Linked DNA regions of Macaca fascicularis. The protein of the gene in region 4 interacts with the protein of the main gene of each other region in a pairwise test. Links are inferred from orthologs where the notes say so. Each region holds a gene or a part of one and is shown on either strand. Other genes may lie near its edges.

What was found.
Region 1: the proteins of RBPMS (region 4) and keratin-associated protein 19-5 interact in binary tests that used the Homo sapiens proteins (3 or more experiments, as listed by UniProt). The two-hybrid records come from large-scale screens. The link is inferred for Macaca fascicularis from reciprocal best matches to the Homo sapiens genes RBPMS and KRTAP19-5.
Region 2: the proteins of RBPMS (region 4) and NEU4 interact in a two-hybrid assay, tested with the Homo sapiens proteins (2 studies listed by BioGRID and IntAct). The two-hybrid records come from large-scale screens. The link is inferred for Macaca fascicularis from reciprocal best matches to the Homo sapiens genes RBPMS and NEU4.
Region 3: the proteins of RBPMS (region 4) and RHOBTB3 interact in binary tests that used the Homo sapiens proteins (3 or more experiments, as listed by UniProt). The two-hybrid records come from large-scale screens. The link is inferred for Macaca fascicularis from reciprocal best matches to the Homo sapiens genes RBPMS and RHOBTB3.
Region 5: the proteins of RBPMS (region 4) and CSN3 interact in binary tests that used the Homo sapiens proteins (3 or more experiments, as listed by UniProt). The two-hybrid records come from large-scale screens. The link is inferred for Macaca fascicularis from reciprocal best matches to the Homo sapiens genes RBPMS and CSN3.

The regions. Positions count from the first base shown.
Region 1 is NC_088377.1:16,491,827-16,494,997, forward strand, and holds keratin-associated protein 19-5, read left to right. Parts: upstream 1-1,446; 5' UTR 1,447-1,497; coding exon 1,498-1,716; 3' UTR 1,717-1,928; downstream 1,929-3,171. UniProt on the Homo sapiens protein: In the hair cortex, hair keratin intermediate filaments are embedded in an interfilamentous matrix, consisting of hair keratin-associated proteins (KRTAP), which are essential for the formation of a rigid and resistant hair shaft through their extensive disulfide bond cross-linking with abundant cysteine residues of hair keratins.
Region 2 is NC_088386.1:137,747,192-137,752,113, reverse strand, and holds the start of NEU4 (sialidase-4), read right to left. Parts: upstream 3,544-4,922; 5' UTR 3,511-3,543; coding exon 3,478-3,510; intron 3,045-3,477; exon of another isoform or gene 2,875-3,044; intron 2,357-2,874; exon of another isoform or gene 1,772-2,356; intron 861-1,771; coding exon 654-860; intron 477-653; coding exon 221-476; intron 1-220. UniProt on the Homo sapiens protein: Exo-alpha-sialidase that catalyzes the hydrolytic cleavage of the terminal sialic acid (N-acetylneuraminic acid, Neu5Ac) of a glycan moiety in the catabolism of glycolipids, glycoproteins and oligosacharides.
Region 3 is NC_088380.1:99,721,021-99,726,221, forward strand, and holds the start of RHOBTB3 (rho-related BTB domain-containing protein 3), read left to right. Parts: upstream 1-1,658; 5' UTR 1,659-2,005; coding exon 2,006-2,007; intron 2,008-2,183; coding exon 2,184-2,409; intron 2,410-5,201. UniProt on the Homo sapiens protein: Rab9-regulated ATPase required for endosome to Golgi transport. Involved in transport vesicle docking at the Golgi complex, possibly by participating in release M6PRBP1/TIP47 from vesicles to permit their efficient docking and fusion at the Golgi.
Region 4 is NC_088382.1:33,745,405-33,749,889, reverse strand, and holds the end of RBPMS (RNA-binding protein with multiple splicing), read right to left. Parts: intron 3,298-4,485; coding exon 3,167-3,297; coding exon of another isoform or gene 3,020-3,166; exon of another isoform or gene 2,167-3,019; intron 550-2,166; coding exon 418-549; 3' UTR 330-417; downstream 1-329.
Region 5 is NC_088379.1:63,739,949-63,745,139, reverse strand, and holds the start of CSN3 (kappa-casein), read left to right. Parts: upstream 1-1,648; coding exon 1,649-1,702; intron 1,703-4,653; coding exon 4,654-4,686; intron 4,687-5,191. UniProt on the Homo sapiens protein: Kappa-casein stabilizes micelle formation, preventing casein precipitation in milk.

The DNA.
Region 1 (3,171 bases), on a different chromosome or scaffold from region 4:
AAGAGAATTTCAGTTTTAGGATACCCTTTTAACATTTCAGAAAGCCATAGGAGTTGGAGGAAATTTTTTAAAATCCATCCCCTAAAGTATTTATCCTTTGAGTTACCAACAGTCTAATTATACTCAAGACCTTTTAAAATGTACAATTAAGTTGTTATTGACTATAGTCACCCTATTGTGCTATCTAATAGTAGGTCTTATTCATTATTTCTAAGTATTTTTGCTGGGGTGGGGAGTTGAGGATGTTCAGTAAGTACAAAAAATAGAAAGTTTTAAAAATGATACTTTAATGAACAGATGAACAGATCTTTAATGATATTTAATGAACAGATACTTCAATGAACAGATCAGTAGGCAGTGGTTAGAAATTACCTCAGAATAAATGAGCACAGGATAGACATAGAAGAACATCAGGAAAGACGTTATAGTGAATACAAAGAAGAGGTAGAAAAAAAAGCATTGAGAAAAGTGGATGGAAGGCAGAGGGGGTTGGGGAAATGTATGCAATAAACTTCTACCTGGCTGTTTCTATAGATGTTGAGAAAATGGGAAGAAAAATGAAAGCTGATGAGAATGGAAATAGAGGTCATATATATACTACTGAAAAAGGATAAAGAAAGAAATTGACTGGAGTGTGCAAAACAGAGGCAGATGCAATCTGCAATTTTACTAGGACTTTGAATAAAACCAATTATAAAGGCGAGTGTTAGGACTTGAATGGAAAACTGAACTACCGCTCTGATAAGCCTGCATAGGAGATGGATTTTGTGCCCTCAATTTCTGAAATTAATTCTTACATATTTTGCAACCAAAAGGTTCTGAAGCTGGTATACAAAGCCAAAAATAGTATAAAAGTTATTGTGAATAAAATGCTAAAAATCAACATATGCTTTTTTTGAGTCGTTTGGCTATTGTACACAGCAGGGCATTAAAATCATTTTGATTTCAAATGTTTTCCTGTATTGTGAATATAGGCATTTTCTGAAGACTTCACCTTGATAAATAAGTTTGCTTTTTAAAACTACAGATTTAACATCTGTAAATTGAAAAAATAGCTGTAAATTCAGTTGAATATGAAGTTATCAGTTTGGAAGATGATGGACAAAGGAAATGATTCATTATAAAAGAAATACCATAAAGTGTAGATGATGTAATACACCTGGTAATAGGCAATTCTGTTGAGCATTTGGGATGTGCATATTTTGAACAGTCAGCCATTTCTTCTCATAAAAGCAAAGCAGTAAGTTCAATCGTGTCCTGAATAAGACATTAAGTAAGCTGAAATATTTTAATGAGAATGAGGGCCTCTCCCTGCATGAGAAGACAATAGATAAATGAGTTGTAACATCAAACGTAATACAAATAACTACAGCAAAGGAGGGTATACAGATGACTCATCACATGCTCTGACCAGGGTATATAAGCCTCTTACACATGCTGGCATTTACACTGAGGATCTTGCCTTGAGCAGCAAACCAACTCACCACTCCTGACACCATGAACTACTACGGCAACTACTATGGAGGCCTGGGCTACGGCTATGGAGGCTTCGATGACCTGGGCTATGGCTATGGCTGTGGATGTGGCGGCTTCCGCAGACTGGGCTATGGCTGTGGCTATGGAGGCTATGGATACGGCTCTGGCTTCGGGGGCTATGGATACCGCAGCTGCCGCCCGTCATTCTACGGAGGATATGGATTCTCTGGATTTTACTGAAATCCTTCCCTGACAACCTAACATGAGAGGCCATAAGATCACCCAAACCTGACTGCAATAACAAAAGGACGAGGTCACCCTGGATCAAGCCGAGATCAAGAGCACTTAGCATCTGAGAGTTTTAAGAATACCTATCATTCCATAATTCTTTGCTTTATGTCTCTGGATGTGTCTTACTTGTACCTTTATAGCTGTGGGGCTTCTCTCTTCCTTTTGGAATAAAGTATGTTGACTTAAAGCAAATACATGGCTTTTATTTTTTGCTTGACTCAAAATGGCAAAGTGGTTATTTATAATTATATCCAGTGAAAAAAGAACAAACTATATACATATAGAAGTATATTATATATAATAAAATAATTTTGTATATACATGCACCTATCTATATAGCTGTATGTATGTGTGTGCATGTATATATCCGCATTCAAAGGTCACAGTTGACCCTTGAATAATGTAGGGGTTGGGGTACTGATTCCTCCATGCAGTTGAAAATCCACATATAACTTTTGACTCTCCAGACACCTAACTACTGGTAGCCAACTGTTGACTGGAAGTCTCACTGATAACATAAACAGTTGATTAACACATACTTTGTATTTTATATGCATTATACACTGTATTCTTACAATAAAGTAAATAAGAGAAAAGAAAATGTTATTAAAATAGTAAGGAAGAGAATTTATATTTACTGTTTGTCAAGTGGAAGCAGCTCATCATTCAGGTCTTTATCCTCATTGTCTTCACATTGGATAGGTTGAGGAGGAGGCGGAAGAGGAGGAAGGGGGACGTTGGTCTTGCTGTCTCAGGAGTGGCAGAGGTAGAACAAAATCTGAGTATGAGTGGATTCACTCAGTCCAAGCCCATGTTGTCCAAAGTAAGCTGTACATGCACAAATTAAAACCATAACACTCAATTAAAAAGAATCTTTTTTCTTTGGACTACTGTGCCGTATTGACCATATCTTTTTCATTTCAATGCTTTCAGTTAGATGTTAGTGTTTAAATTCAGCCCTGAAATACCAACTTTATAAACTTTCAAATCTCAATGGAGACCAACATGAAGAGTATGTACTTCCATAGTTTGTTCAAAATGTATGTTTATTTGGCCCTTTCAATGGTAAGAAATGTAATGATAAGACAAAGTATGTATCTGAAAATACACTGAAAATGAACTTCTTTTTGTGACTTTCATGTTTTATTCCTGGTCCGTTGTGGTGTGACACGAAGTTGCTTTCTCATATTATCAGCACATTTAAATATTTTGCAATACACCAAGGAAATATAGAAATCACTGCCATAACTTGTGAAGTAATTCATATTAAGGCTGTGACTGACCTGAAGCTTTATACACTCTAGCCAAGCCTCTTTTAACCTCCAACAAGCAAACGTGGGCTTTGTCATGTTGGTATGTCAAATAACTGTTTGCCCAAGAAAAATATGTAATAACATATTATTA
Region 2 (4,922 bases), on a different chromosome or scaffold from region 4:
GAGGGCCTGCTCCTGCCCACCGGATGGACTGGGTGGCGACCAGTACCCATTTGCCTGGGACGGGAGGCCCAGGACAGTCCTGGGGAGAGGGCTGGTTGGTTCCCTTATGGCTGGAGGCAGGGGCGGTGGTGGGGCAGAATGGACTTTTCCAGCTGGAATCTCCCTTCCATGTGGACCGTGGCCAATCCGAGGGACCCAGACTGGCACCCTGCCCGCCTACCCTGCACGGCACCACCAATGGCCTCCTCGGTGAGGTCCCGGGCGCTGCCCCACGAGAGGCCGGCGTCACGGCTGGCCACGTAGCAGAGGCGTGCGGCGTTCCTTCCCGTGGCGATCTGCACGGCCTCGGGCGTGTGGCCCAGCACCGCGATGAAGAAGAGGAAGACGGTGCCTGTGCCAGTGTCGTGCACGGGGCAGGGGTTCATGGACCGGTGCTCTGCCAGGGCTGCTGTCCCCAGCACCTGCAGGGCGCCCCACTGCCCAGAGGAGGAAGTGCCACTGACTAGGATGTCCAGGGACCTGGGCACAGCCCCCCGTGGGGCACCCGAGACAGCTGAGCCTGGTTTGCTCATCTCTATCTCGGGCACCCGCCTGCCACCGCCACCCCCGCCCCTGTCCCTGGGTGTGCAGCCCCAGTGGGCCCGGCCACTCACCCGCACGGAGCCCCCGGCCCGCGTGCCCCTCCTCAGCACCAGGCGGTGGGCATGGGAGTCGTCGGGGCTGAGCCGCTGCTCCACAAAGGCCAGCAGGGTGGGCCCAGGGGGCACAGGGAGCAGCGAGGGCACGCGGTAGGTCAGGCCGGTCCTCTCCCGCTCAAAGAGCACTGTCCGTGAAGGGGTATGAGGGGCCCCCATGCTCTGCTGGTCAGTACAGGGCCACAGGTCAGCAAGGCAGGCCCAGGGAGTCCCACACTCGCTCCTCCTCTGGATTGGGGAAGGGGCTCAGGAGGTGCAGACAGCTCCTGCCCACACCTAGGGCTCTTCCTGTACCCACCTTGGGGTCAGGCCTGTTTCTGACTCCCTCACCCCAGATCTGGAGCAGCCCCTCCCCAGTCCACCCTCACAACCCCTGTACCCCAAATGTCTATGGAATCAGACCTTCCCCTCTCAACACGGCTCTGGGAGTTGACCCTCGGCCAGGCTAGTTGGTGCGGAGGTGCAGGGGAGGCTGGCCGGAGAGCCCCGGGACCCTGCCAGCCATGTGCCCAGGACACAGGGTCATCCCGGAATTCACCCAGCAGGAGGTCATGTGGACAATCAGGACCCAAAACCTCAAGCAAGGAGAGGCTCAGTGTCCCCAGAATAGAGGCCACAGCAAACAGAGACACAAAGAGGTGAGCTCACAGGGACTGCTGGGAGCCATGGGGACAGGGGACCCACTCCCACTTCCTGAACGTCATCGGGTCACCCATAGCCAGGGATCCTGCAGGGGACAGGTGCTCGGCGGTCAGACCCCTGCCTGCAGGGCAGCTGGCCCCATAGTGCCCCCACCCCACTGCCTGGTGCTTTGCACCTGCAGGCCCTGACCTGAGAAGCACCCACAGGAATCAGAAGCCCCAAAGCTGAGTGGGGCTCCCAGACAACACCCACCAGGGCAGGGGCCGGGTGAGCGGGCATTTGGGGCACATATGGGGTCTGCTTGCTGCAGGCGGGACCTGCCTGGGGGTCTCTCTGTCTGACCGCACAAATCCAGGCCGGGCCGTGCGTGAGCACGCACAGCCCGGCACGGGGAGGTGGCGCAGCTGCAGACAGGTGGGAACGCTGGTACCCACCGTGCAGGACTCGGAGCGGTCAGAGCCACGGCCAGTCACCCAGGCTGGGCACACGGGGCACCTGGATGGGAGGCTAAGGGGAGGAGGGAGGAGGGAGATGGCTGGATGCTGAGCACCGCACCTGGCCAGGGCACAACGCCTGCCTACAACGGGGACCCACGCACACTCACGAGTCAGGTGGGACCGATGGAGACCCAGGTAAAGGCGCAACACTCGTGCAAAACCCGGGCAGGCCTTGCCCCTACACCTGAGGCCCGAACAGACAGCTCCACCTCCAGCCACCTCTGCCCTGGGCCGCCGGTTCCTGAAAGGCTCTTGGCTAGGACAGCTGGCCGGCCCCTTCCTGCTGCTCCCCCACCACCAGTGTGCGGCTTCTGAGAGCAGCTTCCTGTCCCCAAGAAGCCCCTGGCTCTGCTCTCAAAGGGCAATTGTGCCCAAGCGGGAAGCAGGTGCAGACGCCACGTGTCCCTCTGGGCTGAGCAGGCACAAGCAAGACATTCTCTCGGCACTTGGCTCCCTCCCCAAGGCCCGGGCCACAGGAGCCGGCGTCAGCACCCCCTGCAGACATGAGGCCCAGGCCCGCTCCTGGGGACAGAGAGGGAGGGAAGGAGGCTCCAGAAACCAGCTGGTCACTCCCCTCGTTGCACAGAGGGGAAACTGAGGCCCACAGAGAGGACAAGGCTGCCACACACTTGGCTTGGGGTATCCTTGCCACAGCCAGGCCCTGAGTTCCACAGAGCCTCTGTGTCCTCAGCAGGCCCCTCCGTCTCAGAGGCCAGCCCTGCTCAGTGCGGCCAGTTCAGCATGTTTCAGAGGTTTGGCTTGACTGGGACGGCTGTGTCCTGGACATTAACCAGTGCCCCCGCCCTCCCTGACAGGGCCCTTCTCAGGGCTGTGGAGTCACAGAAGGGAAAACCAAGGCCTAGGGGAGATGGGACCTCCAGGAGAACCTGGCCTTCTGGCCCCTGGACCCCTGGACCGGTTGTAGGGTTCACTCTGGCTTGGCAGGGGGCCATCACAGACCCCCCACCCCCACCCCTCGCAGCCCATCCTGTGTGGGCCCCCCTAGAGCCCTGAGGTCAGCCCAGGCCCTCCGCACACACCCTCTGGAGTCAGCACTTCTTGTCCTGGGACCCGTCAGGTGTAGGAACACCTTGGCGAGGGGCAGTCACATGCGCCCACGTAAAGTGCAGAGGCCAAAGCTTTGCGCAGGATCCCGGCGGGGGCCCTCGGCGGCTCTGACCCTCAGCCTGCGCTGTGAACGTCCTGTGCCCTGGCCAGGGTGAAGACTCCAGCCACAGACCCTTCACCTGGCAGAGCATCCCCGACCAGCCCATCTGCAGAACGACCCTGTGGGCTGGCGCCGGCCCCCTGCATTGGGCCTCTCACAATCCGTCTGCCTCCATCCCATGCCCTGAATCTGCCCCCAGGAACCCTCAGTGTCACACCCACCCTGTGGGCCAGGAAACTGTCCCATTGGGAGACGCGTGTGGGACCTCTTGTTGGAGGGGCCCTCGGAATCCATGCAGCCCGCCCCTTGTTTGAGAGCTGAGGAGCCACCCTGGGGTTGGCAAGCGGTGGGACTCATCCAGCACCCCCAGACAGAGGAGCCGGCCAGCGGGACAGATCCCTCAGGAGCGGGTCCTGGCCCCGAGCACCAGGGTAGAGGGGTGAGGGCACTGGGGGTGCCAAGGGCAGGGACTCACCGGCCACCTCGGGAAGGCTGCAGAGCTCATCATGGGTGGCTGCCTCGCCTGACCCAGAGCAGAGACAAGGGCCCACTGTGCGGGCAGCAGGCCAGGGAGCTGGCCACGTCCCAGGGCTACGTCAGGACCCTGGACACTCCCACGGTGGCACAGCTCCACTGAAGCCCAGAGCGGGGCCAGGGGTGCAGATGGGCACCCACGAGCCACACAGATGCCTGGGGCCAGCACAGGCTCCCCTCTGCAGGTCGACACGCTCAACACTGGGGTGCTGAGGACACAGGGATGTGCCCTCCAACAAGGGCTGTGGTGAGGCCACAGTGGACCTCCCAGGGAGACACAGGGGTCTGCTGCTCAAGAGATGCAGCCCTGGCAGGAGGGCTCCGTGAGTGCACACTCTCTTCCGGGCTTCCTGGGTGTGGGGCCTCCCCTGGCACAGCACAGCCCCTCACAGCACAGGACAGTGGCCCCTGGAGCCTTGCTGGGCTCCAGCTCCGTATCTGTGCTTCTGGTAGGCCAGCACCCCATCACCATGTCCTGTGCCTCTCAGGGCCCAGGGTGACCCCTCCCCAGCACAGCTGCCCCTGCAGGACTCCTGCCAGCCCCATTCATGCTGGCCTGACCCCGGCCTGCCATTTTGGAGGCAGCCTTGGTAACCGATGCTCAAATGACCACTGCCCAGGCCAGAATCTCAGAGGAGGCCACAGGTCCCCAGTGCGCTCTGATGGGGCAGCCTCTACGGGGGCTCCCTGGGCCCTGAACACCCTCCCTTCTCACTGTCCCTCCCTCCCCTGCGAGGGGCGTCCTCAACTGCTTCTGAAACCTGGGGGGCTGTGGTGGGAAACAGGGAGGTCATGTGGTTTCCAGGCTGAGATTATAAACCTGCTGCGTCCCTCCAGGTCTTGGAGCCTGAGGGGATTTACTGGGGGGAGCTGGGAGGGGGCCGGGGAGGATGTGGGAGAGAAGGAAGTGGGAGGAGTGGGCCCCAGCTCCTTCCGACTCATCTGCACGCCCCCCGTGGGCCACGTGACCCCCGTGGGCCGCTCACCAGTGCCCTGTGCACTCACAACCCCCAGAGGGGCGTACCGAGTCCAGGCAACTTGGCCGTTGTACACATCCTCCTGCTCACAGCCAAGAATACTGGGGCAGGTGGGTGGGAAGGGACAACCTCCCCACCTCTCAGAAGCCCCACCCCAGCCCAACCAGAACTGGGTGGCCCATCTCCCTTCTCCTGTGCCCCAAGTCTGGGCCTGGTGGAGTCTGACCAGGGCCATCCCCTAAGCACCCAGGCTCATAGGGAAACGGGGCCTCCAAGCCCCCACGTCACCTTGCAAAGCCCCCTCCTGGGCCACCCTGAGACAGAGGCTGGGTCTGGAGCAGGGCTGTCTGACCAGGGTGTGCCCACAGAGCTGGGATGGGGGGCAGGCCTCACTCCCTCTGCTTGAGGC
Region 3 (5,201 bases), on a different chromosome or scaffold from region 4:
CTTTTCCCCTCTCCCCAGCCCCTGGTAACTGTTATTCTACTTTCTGTTTCTAAGAGTTTGACTACTTTAGATACCTCCTATAAATGGAATCACTTTTTGTGATTTGCAACTGGCTGATTCCACGTAGCACAAGGTCCTCAAGGTTCATCCATGTTGTAGTTTATGAAGGAATTTTCTGCTTTTTTAAAGGCTAATTGTCCATTACATGTGTATACCACATTTTCTTTATCCATTCATCCATTCTAGTGTCTTTGTTTTTGACTTATGGGTTTCTGGAAGAGACTGATGAGAAAATATATTTTCCATTAACCCAAGAGAAAAAGTGATCCTGAATGCTGGAATTTTTAAGGATGGTTTAGGTTCTAGAGACTAAAAGAGAAATCATAGAAAATGCAAAGGGAAATTAGATTTAAAAAAATTAGTGACCACATAAAGAATGTCTGCTATTATATCTTCTCTGAGCACGAGAAACTACTAAACTACTTTTAACCGAGCAATAAGGGCCCATAATAAAAAGCTGTTACCCTAGTTTTTTACTACCCTACTCAATACCCCTTCTTTCATACCCTCAAAATAGCTCAGTTGAGAAAAGAAACAGTCCAATTTTACAGAAGGGAAAAATAAATAGATAAAAGGATAAGCAAGAACTCTTTTTAACACGGAGTAAGGTACTGGTTAGAATTTTAATACTGTATGGAGGCGTCTAACCCCAGAGTAATCCCTGGCCCATTTTGGTGTTAGTAAGTGGATCCCAGTGTTCGTTTGTATTGAGGTAGTTTGAAGCACGCTAGGGATATTCATAGCCTTTACTTCAGTGCATTATTATGAAAGAATCTAAAGTATCTTTGCATTTACATGATTATGTTTTCAGTTGGTCTGCGGAGCTATTATTAAATGTGTCCATAATGTGTACAGAAAAATCTTCAAGTAAACTAGCATTTAACTCACCAACACATTAAACCCCCATACATAACTTCCTTTAAAAACGATCACACTAAAAATCCCAGCATTTAAAATCCTGAAGTTTTCGCTAAAATACGCTAAATATAGCTCGAAATAGTAAATAATCCCCCCAAGGCGACATTAGCAAATTAATTGGTGTGCGAACAAAGAACCCTTTCTGCAGCGGCATGAATGTTGCCTTTATTTTTTCTCACAAGTATGATTTTAGAAAACAGCAGTAGCGCATGTTGACAAATGACAAAGCGGCAGTCGTGGTAAAGCACTTTCGGTCAAAGCCAAGAGGGGGGAAAATCGGGTTGCTGGGGCGGCACTCGTGCTGGAATCCCTAGCTTCCCTAACCTCCTTTTTCCAGTCCGGAGTGAGCGGGGGCCCCATCGCCCCACCCCCCTTTCCTGGCTCTGGTTACGGCCTTGCGAGTTGAACAAACTTGCTGCAGGCGGATTGGCGGTCGGGAGCTCTCGGGCTGGGGCGTTGTATTTATTAATTTATATTCCGCGGCGCCCCGCGCGGGCCACTCCTTTGTGTCCGGCCGCCGCCGCGGGAGCTCCGGGGCCTCGGCGGGGAGCGCGTTCCCTGTGTCCGCCCGACCCCCGGGGCCGGCACGTGCTTCGCCCGGTCCGCCGAGGGGGCGGAGGCCCCGATCTCCCCGACCCCCCTTCTCTGCCTAGAGGAGGAGGAGCAGCGGCAGCAGCAGCAGCAGGAGGCGATAGCTGCCAGCCGAGGAGGCGCGGCGGAGAGGGGACTGCGGTCAGCTGCGTCCACTCGGGGCTGCGCGGCAGTCCCGCGCCCGGCGATGTTCCCGGGCAGTCTCTGAGTAGCAGCAGCTTGCCCCCCGCCCGCTAGCCCACCCTGGTGTCCGGCTCGCTTGCTGGCTGGCGCGGCCCCGGCCCCGCTCTGCGTCGGCCCCGCCGCGGTGGAGGCGCGCGAGAGGGACGCGGCCGGGGATGAGCGGATTGCGGGTGAACTCGCCGCCCGGGGGCCCCGCGAGGCCGTAAGCCGCTGCTTTTCTCCGAGTCGCCGCCCTGCCCTTGGATTTGAGATCATGTACGTACGCGCCGCCGTCCTGCCATTGTCTCTCTCCAGCGCGTGCCGTGCGCCCCAGGGACGGGGGCTGGTGCCCATCCTAGCCGCGCGCTGTCCCCCGCACTTCCTGTTCCGAAGAGAGACCCGCGCGCTGACCGTGCTTCCCTTCTCCCCTCGCCCCCTCTCTGTCCGTGCAGGTCCATCCACATCGTGGCGCTGGGGAACGAGGGGGACGCGTTCCACCAGGACAACCGGCCGTCGGGTCTCATCCGCACTTACCTGGGGAGAAGCCCTCTGGTCTCGGGGGACGAGAGCAGCTTGTTGCTGAACGCGGCCAGCACGGTCGCGCGTCCAGTGTTCACCGAGTATCAGGCCAGTGCGTTTGGGAATGTCAAACTGGTGGTCCACGACTGTCCCGTCTGGGTAAGGAACAGCAGCTGCTCCACGCCAAGGCTGAAGAAGCTTTTCTTTCCTTTTTTGCCCCCTCCCCCTTCTGCCCACTTCCGTGAGTGTGGAGTGTTCGCGTTACATGGGTCAAATTTTCAAACATTTTTGAGAAAATATTCGGTCCTTTGTTTCACTGGGCAGGGCACAGCCCCGTCAGAGAAGACTCTTAGGAAGATAGAAGGCCCCAGTGGGAATGTGGAGCACTTACTGGTACACTTCACGACTGTGGGTTGTCCCTTGGGAGGCAGCTGACAGTTGAATGTGCCAACTCCAAGGGACGGGGTCACTAAGTTTCACCAGCAGAAAGCAGTGTTTTTTTATGCCTACCCTATGGGTGATAGTGTAATATTGGTGTTCTAAAAATATAGCCTTCTCAAAGCTCAACACAGGCAAAAATACTTTTCATTGGGACAGTTCAGAAATAGTTCCTCTGGAAAGCGGAGGAAAAGACAGGGACTGGGAGTTAATTTTAAATGACTCATTTATAGCACTATTAATTGATCTCTGAAAACTTTTAATTTTAATAATGCAAATACTCTTTATGTATTAGCCATTTGTCTTAGTGACTCATAAATCAGAAATAATATTACTAATGTTGCTTGGAAAACTTAAAAAATTAAAATTTGTAATAATTGAACAAAATTGTAGTGAAGTGGATAAATTGTAGCCCGATTCTTGAGTGTTTGATTAAGGGAGAAAGGAATTTACTTTCTGACACATATAAGTATTTTCAGTATACAATAACATTATGTTTGAATGTTTTCCTTTGGTCTTATTTGAAAATCTCTGACTCTTTACTGATATTGGAGTTACGTATGTTTCAGCTAAGTTTACATTTAATAACAGAAGAAAGTTTAGTGCCTGAAAAAATACGAATTGTCATTGTGTGAGATTTCACATTTAAACAGCAATTTTAAAAACTGAATCAGGGCTATAGGAAACTATCATGCCTTTCTAAAAAATGTGTAGAGTGTACTTGGAAAAATTTTTTATGCAAAATTCCATGTAACAGAAAGAAGATCACTCGCTTGTGTAAGTTTTCAGTTAAAGAAGAAAGTTTGTTAATTTGGTAAAATAAAAAACAGACCTTTTCAGTTAAGAGATGCTATTAAACCCCTAGTTATGACAGTGATGACGCTGGTCATAAGAAGTGTGATGGAGAGCTTACTGACCAGAGTCTATGCAGGCAAATGAAACACTTCTTTTACTTGGACTCTTTCGTCGTGAAAGATCTTACAGCCTAAAAACATAACGGTTCAACATGCAGTTGAACAAATGTTTGGTGAATAGAGTAAACGTAGGGAAAATAAAATTAGCTACATTAGGATGTTAGGATTGCTTTCCCTATATTTAATTTGAGCTGTTAACACTTTCCTGTTTATATTGTTAATTTTGCAAACAGCAATGCTTGTGATCCCATACACTTTGTCTAGTAAAATGAAATCTTCCAAATGGAGAAAATAAGCCTCTATGGTACGGATTTTTCCCATATGCTGGTTGTTATGGTTTATTTTGCTAATCACTTTTTGTTTGGTTAGACTCTGGCCCTATTTAAGGCACCAAGTTTGTAACCCGGTACAATTTGCTGGGCTATAATGATCTTCAGATATGAGATTCCATTTCTAGAGTTGCTCTTTATAAGGTGCTTTTCTTCACTTGGTGGTAAGTAAAGCCCATCAGAGATACTAAAGCTGATTGCATTAATAAACTGTTATTTGATATATTACGGAATCAGAATATTACATAGAGCAGATAAAGCACAGCCTTTGATATCAAAAGGATCTGATTTCAGATTCTCACATTGCCATTTCAGGTCTGCGTGTCCTTGTTAAATCACTTACCTTCTCAGCCTTATTTTCCCTATCTATAAAATAATCTGCCTCCTAGAGCTGTGCTGAGAAGTGAATGAGAAACTAGCACGCATCACGTTCTAAGTATAGAGGCTGACATTTAGTAGCTGCTCTATAAGTGGTAGCTAATATAAAAATAAAGTGTTTGTTATAACTTTAGTATAGTTATGTATCACTTGTATTAATACTAAGCAAAAGTAAGATTTTCGCAGGTCATTCAAGATGTATACAACTACAGTACCAGTACACTGGGGCAGCGATGTTCATTCTTCATACATGCAGCCCCACATTCAAGTAAAATAAAATAGTTTCACTGTAGAAATTCAGATTTTTTTTTTTAAAGATGAGTTCAATTCTCCAAATGTGGCTCCAAGCCTTGTGTTGCATAACCCCCTAGAGGAAATCCTGGAACTGATTTACAAGTGGTAGGAGAATTTGATTTCCTTCATAATTCTGGAAATCTTTGGAGTATTTTCTCTTTGACATAGTTTGAGAAGAGATGTGTTGTTGTTGCCTTGAAGTTTATTTTTTTTATTTATTTATTTTTTTTTTTGAGACGGAGTCTCACGCTGTTGCCCAGGCTGGAGTGCAGTGGCGCGATCTCGGCTCACTGCAAGCTCCGCCTCCCAGGTTCCCGCCATTCTCCTGCCTCAGCCTCCTGAGTAGCTGGGACTACAGGCGCCCGCCACCGCGCCCGGCTAATTTTTTGTATTTTTAGTAGAGACGGGGTTTCACTGTGGTCTCGATCTCCTGACCTTGTGATCCGCCCGCCTCGGCCTCCCAAAGTGCTGGGATTACAGGCTTGAGCCACCGCGCCCGGCCAGCCTTGAAGTTTAAATGAGATATCTGTGTTTCTCTTCCCTAGTTCTCTTCTGTAGATCCTTAGCCTTACCCTGGATCCTTGCCTTAAATACTTGG
Region 4 (4,485 bases):
GGCAGACTGGACACTGCACCCGTACATTTCACAAGGGCTCCCCTAGCTAGATGCAGCATCCCTGCTGAAGTGAGGTCTCCTGGTGGATGAGATGCTTCCAACATGCAGCTCTTGGTGGCTCTTCCGGGAGCCCAGGCAGAGAGAAGCAGCAGTGGTGTGACCTCGGCTCCGGGACCTGGCCTCTCCAGCAAGCTCGTTCTGAGTCCTTCTATGTAAAATAGACTTGGTGTCACAGGCCCAATTCTCCCAAAACCTCAGTCAGAGAGTAACACCTTTGCTCCAACATTGCATCACCATGAAAACAAAACGCTGCAGTCTACTTGAGATCATTTTTGCTCTGATTAAAATTTTTATTGAAATCTCTCAAAGGTCGTCAAGAAATAGTTTTTGCGAAAGGGGGGAAGATAGCTAACAAATTCAACATGGGAGCTCCCTCTGCTGGTCTGCAGTAGGTTGGTATGTTACAAACACATTCCCAGAGACAAATCTAATTTGCTGGAGAAGTGGACAAAAGACAGGTGTGTTGGGCTTTGCCTCAGGAGAGAAACACTAGAAGAAAAAAAAAATCCATGTCTCAAAATAGAGCATAACATTGCTAAGAAAAACAAAATTATTTAAAGCCTCTCCAAAGACATTATAAGATTTCCAAAACAAAAACTGAATTATCCAATATGGGGAGATGCCCCGTAAAGGCTCCAGTCTGCTCTACCTCCAGTTAATAAAGATTCTCTTGGGCCCTTTGGGTGAAGGTTAAGTGCTGATTCCCTTTGCTTTGCCTCCAAGTCTCTTCTTACAGGCTTCCCATCTACTTAGAGAAGAAAGATCCAAGGAGTCACTGGAGTGAGGCCTTTCCAAAATTCCATTAAAGAATAAGTCTGTGGTGAGCCAACACCTCGGAGTGGAAAGAGTCAGGCCTGGGAGGCAGGTGACCTGGGTCTAGTCATGGCAGAGCCACAGATTGTGGGCAGCTCCCTCCATCTTCTCAGGCCTGTTTCCTCATCTGTCAAATGGGTCAGACCAGCTGATCTGTAGAGCCTCTACTAGCTCATTCTGATTCTCATACTGCACAAATAAATTTAAATAACGGAATGTGTTCACAGAGTCCATGCCTGCACTGGGAATGACTCCAAACAAGAAGTGGCGTTGAAAACTGGTATCAGATGAGAGTCCCACCAAATCTGGGACCGATGTGGCAGAGCTAAGTGGATTCCAGTTTGGGAAAGTCTCAAGATCAAGAACTCCCAGGGGAGGGTGCCACCATGGGCAATACAACCCATTAAGTCAAATGGCTGAGTCCATCTAATCTTGGCACTGTCTCTCCCCATCCTTCCTTACAATGGCATGTGCTTTCTAATCTCTTGAGACTCTTTAGGCCCTTCTCTTACCATACCGTATCTCCAGAATTACTTCTGATTTTACCCATTACATGAATGAAGAATGGGCAGATGTCATATCCAAAAGCCACCATTCCCAGTACTTTCTGGCCGTTGTCAACTCTTGATATGGCTATTCAGAAGACTATGCAAACCACTGTTTCACGGTATTTATTAACATTTGCCTTAACTGCCACGTGATCTGTACCCGGCAGTCTAGCAAGAGGAGACACCATCCAGAGCAGGGGTGGGAGGTGGCAAGCAAAAGGGGCTCTTAGTTGTCCCATGTCATCCACACATTTATCCGCAGCCTGCTACAAAGATCCTAATGACTCAGCAGAGAAACCCACAGGTTTACATTTTATCCCCTCACCCCGTTACCTGCCAGTTGTGAGGGTTCTCAAGCATTGACATGGAAAAAGGAAGAAAAAGCAGCAGGGGAAGGAGAAGCCAAAGGCACAAGTAATCCTGGCTCCTTTATTTTCTGTGCCATGTACTCTCACCACCACCACCACCTACATTTTTTTCTTCACTACTTGTACTACTTTCTCCCTTCTTCTCCCAACACAGAGGGCAATCATTACTGGGGCTCAGGCACCAAAGGCAGCCCAGGAAGCCGGGTCGTCAATGCACGCACAATGTGTTGGTAACTCAGCGAAAAGAATTAAAAGATGTTCAGCCAACAACAATCTTGACCCCATGACTTTCGAGAACCCTCACCGAGGGCTGCTTCTAGGTGGTCTTTATCAAGACAGTGAATTCTGTACAACATAAAAGAGTTTTAAGTCAGAAGGAAGTTTTCTGGGAAGCTGTTTATTTCATCCAGCCTTGAAAACAAACACTGAGCAAAACAAGCAAATGAAAACTCTGCCTGTCCAGCCTAATCATTTTTGAAAATCTAAAATTTAAAGGCTGAATTACACATGCAGAAAGATAAATGAAACCTACATACGTACTTTCTATTTGTTACTGGTCATCAATCTTTGCAGGCCAAAGAATGAGTGATCTCCAAAGGTGAATCTTTACACTGATTACTACTACTTGCGCTAAAAGCACAGCTAAGAGAATATTTTCTCCAAGGGGAGAGGAAGTGTTAGTATGTAGATAGTAACCTTTGTGGAGAAACAGGAAGTTTGTTTATAAAAATCAGGCTATTTTTAACTAAGAAAGCAAGCTGGTCAGAATAGAGATCTCTACCTTGACCTGTAATTCCATCTTAGACACTATCCTGTACCTCCTTTTCTACAGGGTTTCCTGAAAATGGAGAAAAGGAACCCTTAATCTTTCCTGTAACATATTTAAGAAAGTATAGCCTTCGCCCATGGAAGCTTTCCCTTTGGTCAGAGATTCTTCTCACAGTACACGAGAGTGGAAAACTCTCAACACACAGAAACACGCACAGACGCACATATCCCCTGCTCCCAGCACACACCTTCCTCTGTAGCCCTTCCACACAAGGCACACACGTGTACGCTCCGGTGATGCCCTCTAGCTAGCTGGGAGCCAAGTGGATAAACTTGCCCCAGTCTCTCATGTGCGATATGAGGTGAGATCATTAAGGAAGAGAGAGGTGTCATTTGGGGCAAACATCAGGCAGTGGGTGATATCATTGCTGTCAGACGATCCTCGTAAGTCCTGAAGGAGTGTCAGCTTGATTTAGAGGGGATCATTAATCTCTTGAAGGTGGATCTGTTAGCTGGATAGGTGTTAGTTGTATGGTGTGCTCTGGGGAACCAAGTTTGAAAGGACTGGAGGTGGAGTGAGTGAAGTCGTGGCCGATGGGTATCAATTACCTGGGCATGCAGTGAAGCGGGATAGGTGAAAGCAGGAGGAGGTAGAGCAGGCGCTAACTCCGCTGGGTACAGAGGGTACGGGGCCCACACTTCAGGGCTACTGGGGTAAAGTGCAGGCACTGTGAGCTCATCTGCAAGAAAAGAATAAGGCGAGAGTTAGTGGTTACCAAACAGCTAGTTTCAAATCAGAAAACAAAACACCCAAAAACCCCGAGCCCCAATCAATGTCAGAAGCCAAATGACTCTCATTCTTTTCACAACCTGTTGTTTGTTGGCTTTGGTCCCATAAGTGCTAAGCAAGGAACGAAAAATATAACAAGAAAAGTAACAAGCATCTGCTGTCTGTCTGGCCTGCTGAGATCTCAGGCCTGGACTCCGCCTTGAACACTCTGATGTCTTTCCAACTGTAGCTGGGGAACCCAAAACAGTGGGAATTTCCTGCACAAAACAGAAAATGTGGCCCTCTGAGGAAAAGGGAGAGAAAGAACCAATGAAAGATATCCCATGAGAACCCACCGCAGAGCCTTTGGGAAAACAATGGCCTAACGGCAGGGCCTCAACAGACCAGAACTGGAAGGCTTTTCTGTTTATTGGCATAATTACTATTGACAAGTCAGTCATGATCATCAAGCATTTTCCATGTAGCCCCCAGAAGTACAGGGCCAAATACTGTGACCACAGGGCATTTAAGATCTTAAAAATTCAGAGAATTGAGGTGAAAAACCTTGAGAATCCTGATTAAAATTACACTCCACAAAGATGTAAACATTTCCAGTTGCTCTTTACAGACTAACTTTTAGGGGGAAAAAGTGAGTCATGTTGCCAAGCGCCTGGTCTAAGTGTTCCTCAGGCAGCTCCAATTCCACCCAGGTCAGGCTGCAGTTGGCCCGATTGAAGGGCAAGTGCCTGGGCCTCCTATGTATCAGGAAGCAATCCATTAAAAGTAACAGCAAACACATGAGGGAGCTTCTCAGGAAAGGCAAAAATAACATCAGTCAATAGCAAGGAATCTGGGCCCTGTGAAGCAGCAATCTCAAGATGTGCTTTTATCACCTGTCAAAATCTGAAATCAAGTATGCCAAGGACGCTATCCAGGACTGCCACGGGAGTCAGCAAAAGGTGATTTGATAGTCATTAGTAACTCTGCCATTCAGGACTTTCCCTAAGTCTACAGTGCATGTGACCCAAGGTCAACAGAGTCACTTTATTCCTTCCCACCATCTAAGGAGCCATTCCAGGCCCAGTGTCTCTGCATCCTTCCCATCCCCCAAAACTTTTCAATACGGAGAGGAGACTAGCAACAGAAAACTGCTTTGCTC
Region 5 (5,191 bases), on a different chromosome or scaffold from region 4:
ACCAAGTGATGAGGGCAAATGCAAATGTAGCTGATATGCAAAGTATGGTCTTATCTCTGTAATTTTTGTTTGTGCCAAAAACAAATTACTATCATTTTATAGAATATTTTCTTTTGTTTACATATCATTTTACTGTGTGAATTGATAAGGGGTCTGTGATTCATCATGAAAATATTTTCAGTCTATAATCCTAAAAGATCACTAGCAAGTGAAGCATTAATAAGGAGCTTCATCCCACTTAAAGAAATACCAGTTTTCTTAGATTGTTCAAATTGATTACAAATGAGTTCCATCGAATGGAAATTGGATGACATCGTATGGGCAGTTTTGAAGTCACTTCAGTAGACAGCCTTCCTAATCATTATTGCCTGAGAATCAGACGCTAATGGAGTACAATGTGCTTTCTATCCCCTATCTGAGACTTTAATTCTGTGAATCTTTTTTGTAAAGTTCAAGTTTGTGGTGATTTAAGTTTATATGAGTATATCAATAACAATAGCTGCAACAAGATGAAGTTAGTAATTACTTCCTAAACATAATATATACTTAAATATAAAAAGTTTGAGGTATCATATATTATTATTGTCTAAAAAGATGATTTATTAAAAATCAAATAAGAAGGTATGACACTGTATATACTCTTTTAGAAAAATAAGGTTAATTTATTTCTTTAAATATTTTAGTCAAAGCCACTGTATCATCTCTATATTTCCTATTAAAACACTCGAGTTAATCATATCGGTTATGATTATTAGAGAAGCATGTTATAAAGGAAACAGTTTCATAACCCTCCACTTCCCGTTCCATCCTACATACTTCTGTTGGATTGATCATGGAATTACAGAATTTTAGAAATCTCTAAGTTCAAACCCTAGTTTTACAGGTAAAAAAATGTAAAGCCCAGGAAAGGGAAATCACTTGATCAAAGTTACAGAGGTAGAGAACTCTGGTCTAGAACTCAGTCCTCCAAAAAATGTATAGTCATACACTTTCTAGTCCGAAAACAATCAATTGTTTTCTGTTGTTTATAAAGCCATGCCTAGCTTTTTCACCCATCATTAACTTAAAGGTGTTTACTTTTTCTGCTCTAAACTTTCCTTCCAATCTTGTATTTCTCTTCTCATACAAGATTCCAATCAAATGTTCATGGTGATTCTCAAGACTTTCTCCTCTACTTGAAATACTTCTCTCCCTATTAAACCCTGCATAGGCAAGCCTCGCCTGTATGTCATTTTCCCACACAAAGACTGCTGCTTCTCTTAACTGAAACTTTTTTAGTAGAAAACCACTTTTGTGGCATTTTCTACTTTTTTCCCTCTTACAGTTATTCGTGTATATTTCAACACTCTTCCTAAAATTGATGCTACTCATTGCATCATATTTACCTTGATAATCTTAACATTTGACATAGTAATGATAATTTTATAATTCCATTAATGCTGTCAAAAATTAAATTCAGAAATTTTTTTACTCCAAGTTTGAGTTTTTACATTCTTTTGTTAAAATAAATTTTTCCACATTGGCTAAATCTACTTGTAAATCTGGCTTTTTTTCTTAATCAAAGCAAACATTGTATTCAAGTCACTCCTAAAATTCTAGTAACAAATTATTCTAAATTAATTTTTTAAATGTATCTTTAGGTGCAATAATGAAGAGTTTTCTTCTAGTTGTGAATGTCCTGGCATTAACCCTGCCTTTTTTGGTAAGTTAATTTCATCTAACCAGTTTGTACTGACTTTAAGAAATTTTTATTTAAGGGCTCTAACTATTCAAATTTCTTAATACAGTTATACCTCATAGACCAAAATATCTACAAACTTGTTATATTTAAGGTTAATTTTTTAAATATTATTTCTATTATAAAATCAAAGTCATGTTCTTTTGGATATCCATTTAGTTCTGTGAATTAAGAAATCATAGTTAATCATATATAGGAAACTTTTAAAATTCTCATACTATAGAGAAAATACATTCTGTGGGGAAAACAATACTGAAAACATTTTAAAATTATAAATGCATTAAAGATAATTCAGAAAGAATAACTACAGAAATCATAGTCCGGGAATCAGAAATTATTTTAATTAAGTTCGTATCTCACCCAGACTCCAATGTCTTTATGGAAACAAAATCCTTCAAAGGTCAACTTTGGTTAAGCTTTTTCACAAGTTTCAAAGACCTTGATACTTCTGCCTTTAATATTCGAATCATTATCTTTTGCTACATTCTTCTCCATTATGTCAATTGACTGACCCCTTTCCAGGGATCCGTGGCCATAAACAGCTTGAAGGTTTGCAGGCATTATCTTGAATTATGTGCAATGTTTTAAGGCTACTGGACCTAGAAAAAGTTCTGTTTTTGTCTTTTAATTTTTTGACTTGTTTTTATTGTTGTTTTGGCTATTGCCTCTTTTTATTTTCATGTTCATCTGGGGATTCTAGGCACTCACAAAGGAGGCAAGCATAATAATGGTATATGTCCACCTCCTGGATTGTAAAATTTTGGGGAGCACTAGTCCTTGTTCTGTAAATCTCTGTAATATTTATTTATTATTAAGTTTAGACTTGCTTTTAAGTTAACATCTATTAATTAATTCTATTATCTGCATGTTGTGCCTATGTATAACATGTCTATTAACTCTATTAGGTCAATTCTTGGAGTCAAAATTACCTTTTAAAACTTTGAGTTCTACAACTCAGATACTTTGTGGCCACCTGAACATTTAGAAGTTAGGTTTTCTCTTTGAGTAATAGGGCTTAAAGTTTAAATCATAAAATGATCCACAAATCCCTGCTGCATAGCAACCTGTTCCTGAGCTACCTGAGCCAGATTTGTCTTTCAAACATTCCTTCCCATTTTCACAAAGGCTTCAGGCCTCAGGGACATGAACAAATATACAGAAAAAAATAATTTAAGTTTATTGATTTTTACCATTCAATCTTATGAGCAGTCAAATTTATACAAATTAAAACATCAATGTGATACCATCTTTTATGTACTATTTTATCCCTTCGCCCAAAATGAAAAGAGTTAGATAATATTTTACTAGCAATTATGTACTAAACTGCATAAATACATAGCCTATTGGTGACATTTTAATTTGGCACAAATTTTCTGTACCACAATTTGATAATTTCTATCAAAGAATCGCTGAAAACTAATGACATTTGTGAAAAATCTTTTTAAGGTATTAATGAAAATTATTAAAAAGGCCACTGGTATACAGATGTTAATCATCTGTCTGTTTATAATTAAAATTTTATCTTAATAGATAACAATAAGAAATAAACATTTCATGACATAATCATTGACAACTTAGTTATCAACTATAAAAATGTAGGTATGAAACCTATGATATAAATTTAAAAAAATGAGATACCACATTTCTTATAAAAACGCAGGATACTTTTTAGACAAGCATATACCAGGAATACATAGCATAGGTTGATATTGCATTAAGGTATCCAGATTGTCAGAATTTTTTAAAGTATACTTTCTATAATATTCATATTACTTCTTTTTTTTTTTTTTTTTTTTTTTTTTTGAGACAGAGTCTCACTCTGTCACCCAGGCTGGAGTGCAGTGGTACGATCTTGGCTTACTGCAACCTCTGCCTCCCAGGATCAAGCAATTCTCCTGCCTCAGCCTCCTGAGTAGCTGGGACTACAAGCTCCCGCCACCATGCCCAGTTTATTTTTGTATTTTTAGTAGAGGCAGGGTTTCACCATGTTGGCCAAGCTGGTCTTGAACTCCTGACCTCAGATGATCCACCCACCTCTGCCTCCCAAGGTGCTGGGATTACACAGTGAGACACCATGCCCAGACTCATATTACTTCTTTACATTTTAAACCAATGATTTAATATATTTAAAGAAAAGCAAGTCTTTGTCTTAAAGCAAGGAAACTTTATTACCTTCTCAAATTTCTGATTTTCTATACTCACACCTTCCAAAAGGTTTCTAGAGTCATTTTATACCCAACGAATACATGTGTAAAAACATGTCCTAAACCAGAACTGCCAATTTAAAACTATTTAATATTATACCTCCTTTCAAAAGTTTCTAAAAGCTTTGGAGTTTTTAGTTTTATAAATACATGTCCATAAAATTGTGTTCTCACTCCTGATTCTCTAAATATGTCACAATTCAAAACTAAGAAAAGCACTATAAAAACAAATGAAAGATGGTATTTAAAACACATATTTATATGTTAAGGTTATGCAAGAGGCAATATTTTAAATCATCTAAGTAAACCTTATGAATCATCTTAGTATGAGAGCAGAGAAAGGAAAAAAGGCTCAATACTCCTCTAATTTTTAACAATGTATATTTAATAAAAACTGAATAGAAATTATTCATACTTTTCATTTAAGTGTATTGTGTATTTGCTGGCACAGCGGTCAGATGAATAGATTTTTCCCACAGTGACTTTTTCATTCTAGGTGGTTATATTTAAAGACAATATAAACATGAAGTTTATTATTACTAATCAGTTACACTACTGTTGCTTCTTAAGTAGTCCAACAAGCCTCATAGATCAATCATGAAAAATGTTTTAAAAAATAAAAAAAAAACATATTTTGCCTTTAACGCAAAATTTTATTTAACTGATTTAAGTCTTCCTTTTTTTTTTCTTACTTCTTCTGGAACTCCCTAGGCTGCAGAGGTTCAAAACCAGAAACAACCAGCAGTAAGTCTATTTCAGTTATTTCTATTAGAGGCATGAACTGCAAAATATATTCTGTAAAGGTCAGTCATACTACAGATGCCTTCTGTCTAAAACTTAAATATTTCATCTCATTAAATAATCTAATAATATTTCCAAAATTCATTTCAGCAAAAGGTGATATGAATCAACATTGACGTTCTAGCTGAAAGTTTTGTTTTCTTATATAACCTGTCATGTATCTTTGGTTTTCAGGTATATTTCACAATATGAGAAAACTCTTTCAGCATTTCATATTGGAAAAAAATGAAAACATAAGTAAAGCTTAATATTTCCCCTTTCCACTTTTTAAGACAAGGAAAGGTCCTTCTCTGACCCCTCCTAGAATACTTCTCATACATCTATATTTACTTCCCCTTTTGTTCCCCACATATGTTTGAATACATTAAATATATCTCATTTTAGGAGTTTGCTTTGTAGTATAATTTTTCTGATTTATTTCTATTTATACGGAAAGGTCTACCAATGA